Linked DNA regions of Anolis sagrei. The protein of the gene in region 1 binds, or shares a complex with, the protein of each later gene. Links are inferred from orthologs where the notes say so. Each region holds a gene or a part of one and is shown on either strand. Other genes may lie near its edges. The genes, in order: SART3 and USP4.

What was found.
Region 2: the proteins of SART3 (region 1) and USP4 are in contact, whole or in part, in a crystal structure (PDB 5CTR), measured with the Homo sapiens proteins. The link is inferred for Anolis sagrei from reciprocal best matches to the Homo sapiens genes SART3 and USP4. Residues at the interface, in NP_055521.1 of Homo sapiens: Asp437, Ser438, Ser439, Lys440, Gln490, Arg493, Glu494, Trp496, Asp497, Met500, Thr501, Ala505, Trp511, Tyr514, Lys529, Arg533, Cys537; in NP_003354.2 of Homo sapiens: Met24, Thr27, Leu28, Ser53, Trp54, Glu123, Gly125, Leu126, Phe127, Val128, Lys129, His130, Cys131, Lys132.

Annotation. Positions count from the first base shown.
Region 1 is NC_090034.1:29,970,548-29,978,453, reverse strand, and holds the start of SART3 (squamous cell carcinoma antigen recognized by T-cells 3), read right to left. Parts: upstream 5,702-7,906; 5' UTR 5,656-5,701; coding exon 5,515-5,655; intron 1,829-5,514; coding exon 1,702-1,828; intron 877-1,701; coding exon 772-876; intron 1-771. Other genes in the region: iron-sulfur cluster assembly enzyme ISCU, read left to right, coding at 7,666-7,770. UniProt on the Homo sapiens protein: U6 snRNP-binding protein that functions as a recycling factor of the splicing machinery. Promotes the initial reassembly of U4 and U6 snRNPs following their ejection from the spliceosome during its maturation.
Region 2 is NC_090022.1:75,214,825-75,222,730, reverse strand, and holds the start of USP4 (ubiquitin carboxyl-terminal hydrolase 4), read right to left. Parts: upstream 4,294-7,906; 5' UTR 4,198-4,293; coding exon 3,938-4,197; intron 3,605-3,937; coding exon 3,477-3,604; intron 1,974-3,476; coding exon 1,843-1,973; intron 1,009-1,842; coding exon 882-1,008; intron 1-881.

The DNA.
Region 1 (7,906 bases):
ATGATGCAGAAACAGTCAAACATGGCACTTCCTTGACAAAAAATGCAGGTAGTCTTTGGGGGAAATTCACCTTGATTTGGGGGCGCTGTAGTTCACCTACATCCAGAGAGCTCTGTGAACCCAAACACCAATGGATATGGACCAAACTTGGCACACATCCCTGATATGCCGAAATTTGATTACTGGAGGGATTTAGGGTGAAACTGACCTTCCTTTCTGGGAACTGTAGTTCACCCACAACCAGAAAAACTGTGAGCTCCACCAATTATGGACCTGGACCAAACGTGCCACAGAGTCCTCATGACTAGAGGAGTTTAAAGGGACTCACTCACCATCGTGGGAGTTGTAGTTTACTCTGCAGCCAGAGAGCACACTGAACCCTACCGATGATGCATCCAGAGCAAACTTGCCCAACATGACAAACTTTAAGTACTAATGGAGTTTTTCACGATTAACCTGGCATGGTGCCAGTTGCAGTTCACCCAGAGTCTTATGTATTTTGTACAATTAAAAAACTGACTTTTTCAAATAACCCAGGAAACGCCGGCTAGCCAAGTTAGTAACACTTTAAAACCACCCACAACTTTATACATTTTGTACAATTAAAAAAATGACTACTTCAAATAACCCGGGCAATGCTGGGGACCCAAGCTAGTAAATAAAGAAAAGGAAGTACCAACTGCTTTTAGGTTGTTTATATTGACCATTGGGGGGGGGGGGGCACATCTTGGTGGTTCTCTTAAAAGAAGGGCTGAAAAAGAAACTGCTTACAGATGTAGTCCTTCACTGCTCTCTCAAAGAGCTCATAGATCTTCTCCCGCTCAGAGTTTTCAGAAGCCATGCGAATCTCATCCTTCAGCCAGTCAAGCCAGAGCTCTGGAAAACACAGTTTGACTTCTGAGAATGATAGCATTACCAGAAACTAATTTGGAGAATGTGTTGCATTCTGTCATTTAAGTAATTTTCTAGACCAGGGGTCCTCAAACTAAGGCCCAGGGGCCGAATGCGGCCCTCCAAGGTCATTTACCCGGCCCTTGCTTAGGGTCAACCTGTCTGTAACGACTTGAAAGCACACAACAACAACAATCCTATCTCATCAGCCAAAAGCAGGTTCACACTTCCCATTGAAATACTAATAAATTTATATTTGTTAAAATTGTTCTTCATTTTAATTATTGTATTGTTTTAGGTGGTTTTTCACTACAAATCTATGTGCAGTGTGCATAGGAATTAATTGATGTTTTTTTCAAATTATAATCCAGCCCTCCAACAGTTTGAGGGACTGTGACCTGGCCCTCTGTTTAAAAGGTTTGTGGACCCCTGCTCTAGACCTTCAGAAAGGCTGAACTTCTGTTTCATTTTCACAGTTTTGACATCTAAAGCCTGGCCAAATGTAAAGAAATTAATGCAATGCCATTCTCATTTCTAACGCATCACCAGAAGAACAAAACATGTAGCACAACTGAGATCAACACAGACTGGATCTAAACTGCCATATAATCTAGTTTCTGAATCTAGGTGATCTGCTTTGAAAGGGATCATATGAGTCTACGCTGCCACACAATCCAGTTCAAAGCAGATCACCTGGATTCAGAAAGTGGATTATATGGCAGTATAGATCCAGCCTGTGTTGATCTCAATTGTGCTACATGTCTTGTAGTACAGTGTTGATTAAGTCACAGATTTTATTCCAAAGCCTACCTTCGGTGAGAGGGAAAAGTTCATTCATCTTCTGGCGGGCCCTGCGGAGCCGCACCAGCTCCCCTTCCTGATGCAACAGCTTGATCAGATCCAGGTGGCAATTGTAGTCAAAGGCATTGATCGAGAGCTGGAAGAAGGCAAAAGAGGGTTTGACTCATTCACTGCATTGATCGAGTTTAATGCGCCATCAAATCATATGTGCGCCTCACATTACAAAGACTGCAGCAATTTGGAGTTGCTAAAGCCTAATTAATATTATTAATTCTTCTTATTCTATTTATTTATAAATTATTATTACTACATTTATTTATACCCCACTTATAATATTATTCACATTGTTTATACATATTATTTATATCATATATTATTATTTACATATATTATTATATATTACTTATATATTATAATAATAATAACAATTACGACTACATCTTTATTTATATACTGCCCCATCTCCCCTAGAGGACTCCGGGCGGCTTACAGACAGAAACAGTGTAAAGCAAATACACTGGGGGAAATTCACCTTGATTTGAAGGAATTGCAGTTCACCTAGATTGAGAGAGCACTGTAAACCCAAACAATGATGGATCTAAAGCAAACTCAGCACACATACCTGTTATGCCGAGATTTGATTACTGGAGGGGTTTGGGGGGAACTGGCATTTCTTTCTAGGAGTTTTAGTTCACCTGCAACCAGAGAAACTGTCACCTCCACTGATGATGGACCTGGACCAAACTTGGCACACAGATCTTCCATGACTAACTCAACCTACTGGAGAGTTTTGAGGGAACTGACTCCCCATAATGGGAGTTGCAGTTTACCCTAAAGCCAAAGAGCACACTAAACCCCACCCGTGATGCATTTAGAGCAAACTTGCCCAACATAACAAACTTTAAGTACTGATTGAGCTTTTGGGGTTAACCTGGCATGATGAGAGTTGTAGTTTACCCACAACCTCATGAATTTTGTACAATTTTTCAAATAACCCGGGCAATGCCGGGGACCAAAGCCAGTTAAAGAAAAAACAATGACATTTAAAAACTGCAACAAAGAGAATGAGGCAATGGAAGTAGGATGAAATCCATGCCATGTGCTGTTGAAGGCTTTCATGGCTGGAATGACTGGATTGCTATGAGTTTTCCGGGCTGCCTGGCCATGTTTCAGAAGCATTCTCTCCTGACGTTTCGCCCACATCTATGGCAGGCATCCTCTTACGTTGTGAGGTCTGTTGAAAACTAGGCAAGTAGGGTTTATACAGGGTGCGACAGCATAACTTCCTTTTTTAAAATGCGTGCCATTCAGTCGGTTGAAGACGTAACGGAGCGCTAGTGGTCTCATTCAAGAGGCGGGAGTATAAAGTTTTGTCCTGACACAGTTCAGTCGCCATCCTGCGTTGGAACAGTGAGGAGCGTGCTTCTGCCGTTGAGGCCTACTTTTCGAGCGGATGTTCTGTGATCGCAACCCAGCGCGCCTTTCGGATTCGCTTTAATTTAGCCCCATTGGCCCCTGTCCCAGACGGAAATCAATTGTGACGTGGGTCACTACATTCAGACAAACTGCAAGTGCGACAAAACAAAGAACTGGAGTCCCTCGGCCCATTAGATCACCTGAGAACATTGAGGCAGTGAGAGCTTCAATGTTGCGATCACTACGGCGTTCTGCGCACAAACATGCGTCTGCCCTTGGACTTCCCGATCGTTCTGTGAGGAGAATTCTTCATGATGATCTTCATTTCCATCCTTACAAGATGGCGATTGTGCAGGAACTTTCTGAACATGACTTCAATTCTTGGAGGAACGCGTGTGAGGTTCTTCTCGAAGTCATTCCTGAGGACACTATTGGGGTTTTTTTAGTGATGAAGCCCATTTTCATTTGTGTGGATCCATCAACAAACAAAACATGCGCTACTGGGCTGACAACAATCCTCGAGAATTGCATCAAAAGCCTTTGCATTCACCTAAAATCACAGTGTGGTGTGCAATTTCCTCAGCTGGAATTATTGGTCCCTGGTTCTTTGAGGAAAATGAAATTGCAGTGACAGTTAATTCGGACTGGTATGTAAACATGTTACAGGAATTTTTTTCCTAAGGCTAGATGGGTTGGATTTAGGGGACATTTGGTTCCAACAAGACGGTGCAACTGAACACAATTCAAAAGCATCTATGGCTGTTTTGAGGGAACACTTCCCAGAGCGCCTCATCTCAATTAGGGGGGATTTGGAGGGGCTGGCCCGCTCTCCAGATTTGGCCCCTTGTGATTTTTTTTCTATGGAGTTTTTTGAAATCCCGTGTTTATGTGAACCCTCCAAGGACCCTACAAGATTTGAAGACCAACATCCAGGAAGAAATTGCCAACATAACGCCTGCTATGCTGGCAAGAGTCATGACAAATGCTAGAAATCAGTTTACTCAGTGTATGGAGAATGGGGGACATCACCTACCTAATTTGATCTTCAAAACTACGTAAAACAAAACTTTAGGTATGCACCTACATTATAAAAAAATTCTGATTCATACAATGGGTTTTATTAAGTTTTGAAAAAAGGAAGTTATGGTGCTTCACCCTGTATATCTGTGAAATAATGTCCAAGGTGGGAGAAAGAACTCTTGACTGTTTGAGGCAAGTGTGAATGTTGCCACTTGCCAGCTTGATTAGCATTGAATAGCAGTTTCAAATCCTGGCAGCTTCCTGCCTGGTTGGGAGGTGTTTGCTGACCCTGATTGCTTCCTTTCTGGATTTCCCCTGTTTATTAGAGTTGTTCTTTATTTACTGTCCTGATTTCAGAGTGTTTTAATACTTGTATCCTGATTTTGTTCATATTCATGGTTTCTTTCTTTCTGTTGAAATTGTTCACGTGCTTCTTGTGGATTTCAATGGCTTCTCTATGTAGTCTAACACAGAGATAGTGGAGGTATTGTGGGGTAAAAATGCAGTAAATAAAATAATATATATATACACACACAATGTATATAATTACATTATGTATTTATATACATTATGTATATATATATATATTATTTATAGATATTTATATACATATTATTATACTTACATTGGTGATAGTATGATAGCTGGGTCCAGAAGCTCCGAGCGTTACGCACATTCCGCAATGGCGGTTGTGAATAAGGGAAGGGGAGATCGGCACACTGAGGGTGGGACTATACTTCGTAGTTACATTTGGTGGAAGGATAGAATGGAGGGGAAGGTTAGGATAAGGTAAGGGTTAGGAATAGGGTTTGGGGTCAGGTAAGGATTAGGATTAGGGTTAAGGTAAGGTTTAGGGTTTGGGTTAGGGTAAGGTTTAGGGTTCGAGTAAATAAATAAATAAATAAATACCATTAAAGAACTCTTACATGCCTTCTATAATATTTGTGTTCCGTTTTGCGTTGCGCAAACAGCGCTCCCGAAGGAGCAAAGCGGAAACAGTGTAACACTCTGAGCTTCCAGACCCAGCCTTCATACTATTCCCCTTACATTTATATTATATAGATAACATGTATAATTATATTATTTTTATATTATTTTATATATTATATTAATATTGTAAAATATAAGGCTATTAAGGTTATCCATTAAATGTATATATTATTTATATATGATTATTAGTTATATTTTAATATCATTATTCATACTATTATATCTCTGATCTCTAGATTGAGGCATATTTTTTTAAAAAACCATGACATTGAAAACCTGCATCAAACAGAAGGAGGCATTGGAAGTTGGATGCAATGCAAGCCATGCTTCCTCAGGGGGCGTGGTCTCCCATCGCGAAGCCCCGCCCCGCGCGAAGCCCCGCTCCGGGGCCCTCACCTGCTCTTCCAAGCGCTGAATTTCAGCCTGGTTCTCCTTTTCCTCGTCGGCCTCCGAGGAGTCTTCGGACTCCAGTTCCTCGTCCCCTTCCGAGCCTCCTGCGGCCCACAACGACGCCTCAGCTTCGCCGCCGTCCGCCATCTTTCTCCGCCGTTAAGCCCTTTCAGCTGTCTAATCCACTGCCTGACGGGAAATGACGCGACTGTTTTGGCCGCCTGCATCTTTCCAGCAAGCGGTCCGTTAGACGCCTCTGCTTGGGGGCTTGAAGGAAGGTCAAACTATGTCCTTTCCGGAAGCACGGCTTAGGATGCCGGGGCGGCCATCAAGAGTGTGTCAGTTTCCTTGTCCTTCAATGGCAGCCTATGCTTGCTGGCCCTTGAAAGAAGCATAGTAACAATAAAAATATGCCAATATTAATCAAATAAGAAGAAGAATTCTTCCAACTCTCAACAAGGATGGGATCGATTTTAATCTTTCCATGTTGCGGATTTTAAATTGTACTTTAATGTGATTTTATTATTAATATCATTCCAATAATAATAATAATAATATGACGTGTGATCCAATATATCAGCCAGCAGAGTGATCTTGTCTGCTGTGGACTCATCTTGTTATGTTTCAAAGATCGATGCTTTTGAGCTGTGGTGTTGGAGGAAAGTGCTGAGAGTGCCTTGGACTGCGAGAAGATCCAACCAGTCCATCCTCCAGGAAATAAAGCCCAACTGCTCACTGGAGGGAAAGATACTAGAGACAAAGTTGAAGTACTTTGGTCACATCATGAGGAGACAGGAAAGCCTAGAGAAGACAATTATGCTGGGGAAAGTGGAAGGCAAAAGGAAGAGGGGCCGACCAAGGGCAAGATGGATGGATGGCATCCTTGAAGTGACTGGACTGACCTTAAGGGAGCTGGGGGTGGTAACGGCCGACAGGGAGCTCTGGCGTAGGCTGGTCCATGAGGTCACGAAGAGTCGGAGACGACTGAACGAATGAACATTAGTATTATCATTATTGGAATATTAATATTTATTATCACATTAAAGATTCTTAATTGTAATTTAATGTGATATTATTATTAATAATGCAATAATAATAATAGTACAATAATATTGGAATAATACTGTTATTATTATTGGAATATTATTATTAATATATTATTCAAATTAATATTACTAATAATATTAATAATGATAATTCCATTAATAATAATTCCAAGTCCCAGCAAACACACGATGAATGTTAATCTTTGTATGTTGTGAACTTTAAACTTTATTTTCATGTGATATGCTTGCTGGGGCTTGGAATCATTATTAGAATCATAATAATATTGGAAAAATTTTATATTTATTTATTTATTTATTTATTTGATGCATTTATTAACCGCCATTCTCAGCCCTTTAGGGCGACTCATGGCGGTGTACAACACATATAAAAAGGCAATTTACAAAGAGGCAATTACAACAACATATTAACAATACAACAATTACAAAAATTACACTAAAAATCCGCTTCGTCTCATAGTGGAATCATAACCAATCTCATATTCCTTGTTCCTTTCCAGTCGTCTTTACCACATTTTTATAGCACTTAATTAAATGCCTTCTCGAACAGCCATGTCTTAAGGCTTTTTCGGAAGGACATAAGGGAGGGCGCCTGTCTGATGTCTGCAGGGAGAGTCATTCTTTAGAGTCATTCATTATAGTCATTCTTAGAATGATAATATCACATTAAAATACAATTTAAAATCCGCAACATACAAAGATTATTATTATTCAAATAACATTATTAATAATCTATTATTATCCCAATAAAATTAATATATTGGAATAATATTATTAATAATATAACATTAAAGTACAGTTCAAAATCCACAACATACAAAGATTAACCTCGACCCTGTACTTGGTGGGACTTGGAATTATTGTTATTGGAATAATAATATTGGAAGTTTGAGAAAAGAACCTCTGGAAGGTAAAGGCTTAACTCCTGACCGCGTTTCCCCCCCCCCCCCCCCCTTTTGCTGGGCTTAGCGAAGGGAGTGACGACACAAGGAGGCGTGACCTATGGCGCCCTTGCGGCTCTTCCCCTGGCGGCCACGCCCCCGGGGGCCACGCCCCCGTTGCCCTCCACTGTCCTCTGTTCAAAACATTCAAGATGGCGGCGCTTCGGGCAAGCAGCGTGCGCAGCGCGGCGGCAGCCCTTCTGCGGCCTCGCCCGGGCCCGGCCTCCACCTCCCTGGTCGCGGGCTACCACGAGAAGGTGAGCCCGAGGCTTCCTCCGCTTCTAGGCCCAAAAGAAAGCTCGGCCTCGCTGGCCTTTGGAAGCCCCTTCTTGGCATTTGGGACTTCGAGTCCCAGAAGCCTCGGCTGCCTTGGCCTGTGGCCGAGCATTCTGG
Region 2 (7,906 bases), on another chromosome or scaffold:
GTAGAATGGTTTTATATTAATCTAATAATCCTGGGTCCTGGGATCATAAATTGAAGATTGGAACATATATTTAAATTTAGAAAGTTTTGAATTTAAATTTCACGGCATAAACTATTTGTATATTCTCATTCTAAACATAAGAAATCTCTTTTTCCCTTCAAAATAAACCTATTAGTTTTTTCCTAATCCTAAAACCCATAATGTTCCAAAATCTAAAACTTTCTTATATCAGTGTCCTGCTTTCTTGCAGATGGTAGTTGCTGCACTCCTGCCTGTTTTTTGAAAGGTGGAAGTGGGCAGCTGGTAGGCTGCTCAGAGATCTCTTGTACAGAACTGTACTCCCAGTTCCCCAAATGTCACTTCACTTTTATCATCAGTCCAGTCACACACCCCATACACAGCACAAGTAGCAAATGAATGAGACCAAAGATTGGAGTGATAATATGCAAACTATCTGTATAATGGTGGAGGTGTGGATTTGCATCAAGCACTAAACTTGGATTCCCGCCATTACTCAGATATATCAAAATCTGGTCCCAGGCATTTTGGATAAAAGATACTCAATCTATATTACTCTCCAAGCAGAATTTTTTTAATGCAAGAAGAACATCTGAAGTTCAAAATAGCCACTAGCAGTAGCTAAGGTCAAAAGATAAGAACTGAAATATAGCAGCACATTACTTTGCAATGATATATGTATATCAGACAAACAGCATTTACCATTTTACAGGAAATTAGCTATTTTCAACAGAATGTAAAGAATACTACAAGGCACCCCCAGAAAATAGCAAACTATTCCTGCTCTGTATAGTTTTCTAAAAAATTATTATAAGGCATGTAGAAGTGTTGAAAGAGGACTTGTGGCATTAAGAATGACTCACCCACAGTATCTGCTTTGCTGAAATAAGAGCTTACAAGATTAGTAGAGTCGTTGTTTTGACATAGCTTCAACTCCAAAAGATAAACCTCTACTTTACAGTGCTTCACAAACAATCCATACTCCACAACCTAAGAAGAAAAAACTTTTTGTGAGACAGGTACAAACATCTAGACAGCAAAATATTTTATGAAACCAGCCCTTCATTTTCACTTCTATCACATTTTTAATGGATATAAAATCTGTAGCAAATTATTCTTGCTCAAATCCACTCATTTATAAACACATTGTCAGTCATTTTATTTATCTAAGCAAAGATTCTATAAAACTGCATGTTCAGTTCCCAGTAGTCTTTAGCCATACATATCTACTGGGGAGGGACAGCTGCCTCTTTTTCTTGCTCTCAGATATCTTCCCAGGACATTATAAAGAGTGGAACCCTGAAAAATGTACAACACTTTGCAAATTTCAGACAGATACAAGGGATTTAAATTAAAGAAGTTTGTATTTTTAGAAAAGGTGCCACAGAATCCTTGTGTTTTGTGGCCAAGTTGCACAAACACTTACAAAGTTAAGATGCTCCAGCATTTTTTTTAATCCCTGAAAATTTTCAGGAGGACAGGTGGAGGAGTTGTGACCAATATGTGACCAATTGAATGGCAATAACATTACAAGAAAAGTGTAGGAAGCTGCCAGGACAGTGATAGATATGTACAGGTGGGAAAGGCAGAACACAGCTGGTTAGAATTACAACTGAGCAACAACTCCCAAGACTAGACTCTTCTAGTCCTATATAAAAGTCAGAAAAGTGAAGGAAAGTCAATGCAGACATGTCTGTTTCTTGATCAGAGAGAAATGCACACAGTTAGACAGGAATTTTTGAAAACAGAACTCAATGGGATTTATTTCTGAACCACATACAGACAGATTGCACCAGAAATCATACTAGGATCACAAACACTTACTTTCCTCACAATTGGCTTCTGTCCCTCTATACAGCCATACCAATTTACTAACTTATTCCAGGCTTCAGTAGGAACCAACACATAATCCAATTCATCAATAAGGTGCTCTTTCAAAGTCTGAGTTTCTGAATCTAAAAGGAAATGGAATAAGTTACACTCAGAAAAATGAGCAAACAATTCAACACACAGCCATCCTTCAAAGCAGCAGCCAAACAGATACCTTTGAAAATCTTCACAGGCAATTCAAATAGTCATGCCCATGTGGAGTGTTACTCAGAAACCATTACCTTGTGTTCAAAAAATAAAACATCTAATCTATTCAAATACATTTTCAAACTGTGTGATATTGAAGGCTTCCTAAAATTGTACCGCACAGAACTGGAAGATAAAGCAAATAAGAATTTATAAAACTAAAGGACACATACTATTTTTTTCATAATGGTATGCAGCAATGGACATGATCTTCCAGCCTATAGGACCAAACTGACCCACTAGACTCAGCCTACAAGTAATGTTCCTCTCCTAAGTTCTGCTACTTGTTTTGGAGTGATTCTCCCACAGGCAGTTTGCCATTCCAACTGGGAAAACAAGCTGCAGGCCAGGGAGAATCCTGCTGTTGTCACTGATCTCAATGGAATGTGAAATAAAGCCTTGGTATTACCAATTTATGAAGCCAGTTTCTACTTCTTTTTGCACATAGAAGAAAAGCATGATTTCTAGGAGAAAGAAGAGTCAGATGACTGCCCCCTCTCCACGTACACAGATTGGTCCTCAGGGCAAACTTCCCCCACCCTTGATATAGAGAGTTTCTAAAGAAAACAAGTAATTTAGTACTGCTTTCTGCCAAATTCATGACAGTCACAACTTTCTGTAAAATGTGTCATCTTAAACCTATTGAAGGCCTGTTCAAATATTATTTCCAGCTGACTCTAGTTTCCCTTTCACTTTTCCCTGGAAGTTCCCTGAAAGGAGGAGCAACACTGAAATCCAAGCCCAAGGATCTTCAGAATACTAAGGGGGGCAGCAAATGAAAAGATATTTAGATTTTAAGTGCGTCACTTTACCAAGTTCAGCATATCACAAACCTGATCCTTGCATCAATGTTAGAAAACTGATTGAGAACTAAAGCTCTAAGAAGGAACTGATTGAGACATCCAAAGATTGCAAAACACATATGTCTAAACATCTGAAGTTCAACGGCCCACTAAATATACCAACTTATGAAGGGGCTGTGATCATATCTGCCACCAGCATATGTCTTCTTTAGTTCTCTTTCTGTTTTTATGTAAGAAAAAAAAACCCTCACAATCAGCACTAAGTGAAGGAATGGAAGGTGAGCAAACAAATGGCAGTAAGGGTGTGAGAAGCAATTGTTGAGACACTAATTTAAGGGTGGAATCTCTCCTCTCGAATTCAAAAGCAGTTTGGATTGCAACACTTGCTAGAAACCAATTATAACTTCCACAACCAAGAGTTTATTACAAGGGAGGTCCAAATATTACTTCAGAATTAGGAAAACACGCCTAGAAGAGGCTGGAATATGAGGGCATAAAGCCTCCAGATATATTCGCCCTTGCCAAACCCACACAACCTACCCTCCCCAACCCTTTTTATTTCCCCCCAACCATGTTTACCTGCAAAAAGCCCTGAGTTGTCAATGGGTCCTGGGTAGAGATTAGGCTCCCCCACATTATACAGGTCCCAGCTGTCAAAGCCCACGTACTTCTTCCACTGCTTGAACCACCGGCTGTCAATCAGGTACCTACAATTATGAAACGAAAAATGCACCGAGGTGAGTGTGCGTGGGGCGGCCCAAGATTCAGGAGAGAGGGAAGGAAGGAAGGACGGGAAGGCATTGCTAAGGGTCGACGGGGCGGTGACTCAGCAGCACCCCTTCGGGGCAGCCGGCTAGGGAGGGAGGGAGGCAGGAGGAAAGAAGAAAGGTCCTTCAGGGCCGCCGTCCCGCGCGCACTGCTCCCTCCTGCCCAGCCCCCTCCCTCCGGCCGCGCGCGTGGCCATTCGGAGGCCAACGGCCCCCGCGGGGAAGGGGGGGAGGCGCGCGGCCTAGCCCCGAGCCAGCCCTCCTCCTCCTCACCAGGACTCCCCCGGGCACAGCGGCGTCCCCAAAAGCGGCGTGAGCTCAGCCCGCTGCGTCCCCGCGTCCGGCCTCGGGCTGGCCGTGGCTCCTCCGCCGCCGCCGCCGCCGCCACCGCCGCCGCCCTCGAACCCTGCTTCGGCGGCCGCCATGACGGTTGCGCGCGCTGCTGCTGCCGGCCGGCCAGTTCTCCTCTCCTCTCTTCTCAACTGCGGCTCGCCTTCTTCGCCCGTCGCACGCCCAAGGGCGGCACTGCGCATGCGCGACCTCGACGCCCAGGCCCTGGCGGATGAGAACGGCAGGCCGCCCGAGAGACCCGGATTCAGCCTGGCCTTGCGCGAAGAGGGCAACGACGAGGGTGCCCGCCCGGGTCCATCTGCACCGAAGAGTGGGTGCGGTTTGGCAGCTCTTTCACTGACATGGCTTCATGCGCTGGAATCCTGGGAGCTGTAGTTTGGTGAGGCACCCACACAATTTGCCTGAGGAGGCTGAAGACCTTGTAGAACAGCACCTCCCTTGATTCCACAGCATGGAGCCATGGCAATTAAAGTGGTGCCAAACTGCATTTATTCTACAGCAGGCCTGGGCAAACTTGGGCCCTCCCTTCAGGGGTTTTGGACTCCAACTCCCACCATTCCTAACAGCCTCAAGCCTCCTTCCTTTTGCTTAAGCGACTGAATGGGAAAAAGGAAGGGACCTGAGGCTGTAAGGAATGGTGGGAGTTGGAGTCCAAAACATCTGGAGGACCCAGATTTGTCCATACCTGAGCGACAGTGTAGATCAGGAGTCCTCAAACTTTTTAAACAGAGGGCTGGGTCACAGTCCCTCAAACTGTTGGAGGGCCGGATTATAATTTGAAAAAAAAACCCATAAATTCATATGCACAGTGCACATATCTTATCTGTAGTGCAAAAGACACTTAAAACAATACAATAATTAAGATGAAGAACAATTTTAACAAATATAAACTTATTAGTATTTCAATGGGAAGTGTGGGCCTAGTTTTGGCTGATGAGATACGATTGTTGTTGTGTCCTTTCAAGTAGTTTCAGACTTAGGTTGATCCTGAGCAAGGGCCGGGTAAATGACCTTGGAGGGCCACATCCGGCCTCTGGGCCTTAGTTTGAGGACCCCTGGTGTAGATGCACCCTTGAAAAACTTTTTAAAAGAGTCTCTTAAACTGGACTGTGATCAGAATCATGTAACTGGGATGTGAAACTGGGTTGCTGGCCATTTTCCAGAAGCATTGTCTCCTGATGCTTCGCCTGCGTCTATGGCAGGCATCCTCAGAGGTTGAGAAACTGGAAGTTGCTTCTGGTGTGAGAGAATTGGCCGTCTGCAAGGATGTTGCCCAGGGGATGCCCAGATGTTTTACCATCCTGTGGGAGACTTCTCTCATGTCCCCACACAGGAAGCTGGAGCTGATAGACAGGAGCCCACCCTTCTCCCCAGATTTGAACCACTGACCTTTTGTTCAGCAGTCTTGCAACTAAGAGTCAGGCAATAGCTAGTAAGTGAATTGTTGTGAGAACAGTCTGTTTGGCACTATTGTTAGTTTTATGACTGGTTGAAGTATCCTGTTTCTTAGGCCCCTTCCACAGTTATATAACCCAGAATATCAAGGCAGAAAATCCCACAATGTCTCCTTTGAATTGAGTTATCTGAGTCCATATTGCCATATATTCCAGTTCAAAGCAGAAAATGTGGAATTTTATTCAGCTGTGTGTAAGAGACCTCTTATTTTTCCCCATAAATATAGTAGAACTCTATGTGAGATACCAGCTCTCCTTCCATTTGTATTAAGCTTATATTTAAGCCATAGCTTCTGGCTCTCATTGCTCACCTGTCATCATGTCACAGTAATAAGCAAGCTAGGTTTAGAATTTACTGGTTTGGGGTATTTAATAACTAGCAGCTTATACTAAAACAATGGCATATAAAAGAGGCATAACACCTGAATAAATCTCCACAAATTTCAACTCCAGAAGTGTCACCAGTTTTACAAATATATAAAAAGGCAAATGTATTTAGTTCTGAAAAGCTCAGAGGATATATGCTAGGTGAGTCTTCCTACAGAGATTTCCCCATCTATGTAATGTGTTGTACAGTCAGGAAAGCTCTCTGCTCTGTCCTTTCAGCTTTGGGTTTCCAAAACTGAAAGGGAGGGCTTTAGGCAAATTTGTTTCAGTTGAGTATGGAAATTGAAGCAGATGACAATGTTACTCTGTATATGCTACCCACTCCTCTGATCTAGTTTGGCTTTTATATTCTAACTTCAAGGAGGGCTATTTCATTTTAACTGTTCAATATATTGTGCTGTTGGAGGTGAAAGACTCTAGCTCTTAGGGCATCTTGGAAAAGGTAGTAAGATATTCAAGATGGGGTGTTTTTGTTGTTTTTTAAAAAACTTAACTAACCAATTTGATCAAGACAGAAGTGAATAATAATGTAGACTGCAGACTCTGAGATCATTGTAAATATAGTAGTAAAGTGTCCTCATCATGCATTATCTGAACAAAAACTGGAACAAATAAGTGAATTTGTGTTGCAATACAAATAGCTCAGTTATAGCTATGGTTTTCAAGCATTTTATTGTTTGACAATGATTTTCACAAACTGCTGCAGTCAACTGTTTTCCCAATTTAATTTACTATAGCTTCACACAAACTTTTAGAAGATCAGGTGCTTTTCAAGGCTTTAGAAAAAGCACCATCATGAATAAAATTTTGATAGAGAATAGAAAATTAATATCAAGAAAACAGCTGACAAGTCATAGAAAAATAAGCAGTGCAGAAAAGGACAAAGTCTGGTACTCAGGAGTATTGCTGCTTCACAAAGTATGATTTTAAGCCATACATGCTACAGCACATTGTGTTGATACTAAACTGTAATATTTGAAACACATATCTGGAATGTTTAATGTGTATGCGGACTAGGGATGAACAAAAGATTGATAGACTTAGCAGAGATACTATGCTGTAATGGGTACCTATTAACTTTATAGCACATTTAGAAACCACAAGACATAAGTGTCACCTTATGCCTTATAGGTGAGAGGAAATAGCTAAAGGTACAATTCACATTATAGCATAAAAACAAACTGCTCAATTTCAGAAAAGCTTTGCTGTTGTAATTCACATACATAATTTCCCTTCACACAATGAGATTGCTGTGTTTAATATGGGACATACAATAAATGTACTGTAACATGGGAATTAATACATTCAACCCTAGGGTAATTCTAGCTGAAAGCAAAGAGGTGGAAAGACATTTCAGCAAGATATAATATGGTTTGCTCTAAGGAACTTGTTGAAGCAGCTTTTCAATATCATCCTGGATCTTGATGGTTTCAAAGCGCCTGCTGTAGCGTTTGAATGGTTTCCCATCCGGACCAATGAGGAATTTTTCAAAATTCCATGCGATGTCATTGCGGCACACAGGAGACCAGATGATGTTCTGTGGGTGTGTCATCAGAGACACAGCGTCATCATGTGGGTATGGCAATTCTTCTTTCAGGAATTTGAAGAGTGGGTGAGCATTTTCCCCATTGACCTCACACTTCTCAAACACAATGAAGTTAGGCTCATACCCATTGCCTGGGCGGACATACTTCAGTGAGTTCAGGATCTCCTCATTGGTGGTATTCTCCTGTTAAAGGATAGAGGGGACACAATCTTAAATCCACAGCTCAGCAAATAGCATTTAATCCTTTGCTTCCCTCCAAACTTTGTCACTAGTAGTTAGATGAAATATAGCCAAAATATATTCTTATATACATTCCAATGGACTGATATGCCAGCTTTTCTACTTGCCATTGAAATTATGGAATTTTCAAATTTTTAAAAAATGTAACCTATTGCAGCATAAAAAAGATTTCATAAGATTTTATTGCCACAGCACTAACTTGAAGTTTTCGGTTTCTAACAGAAACTACAGTTTGAAAACGGAACTACATTTAGGGAACAGTTA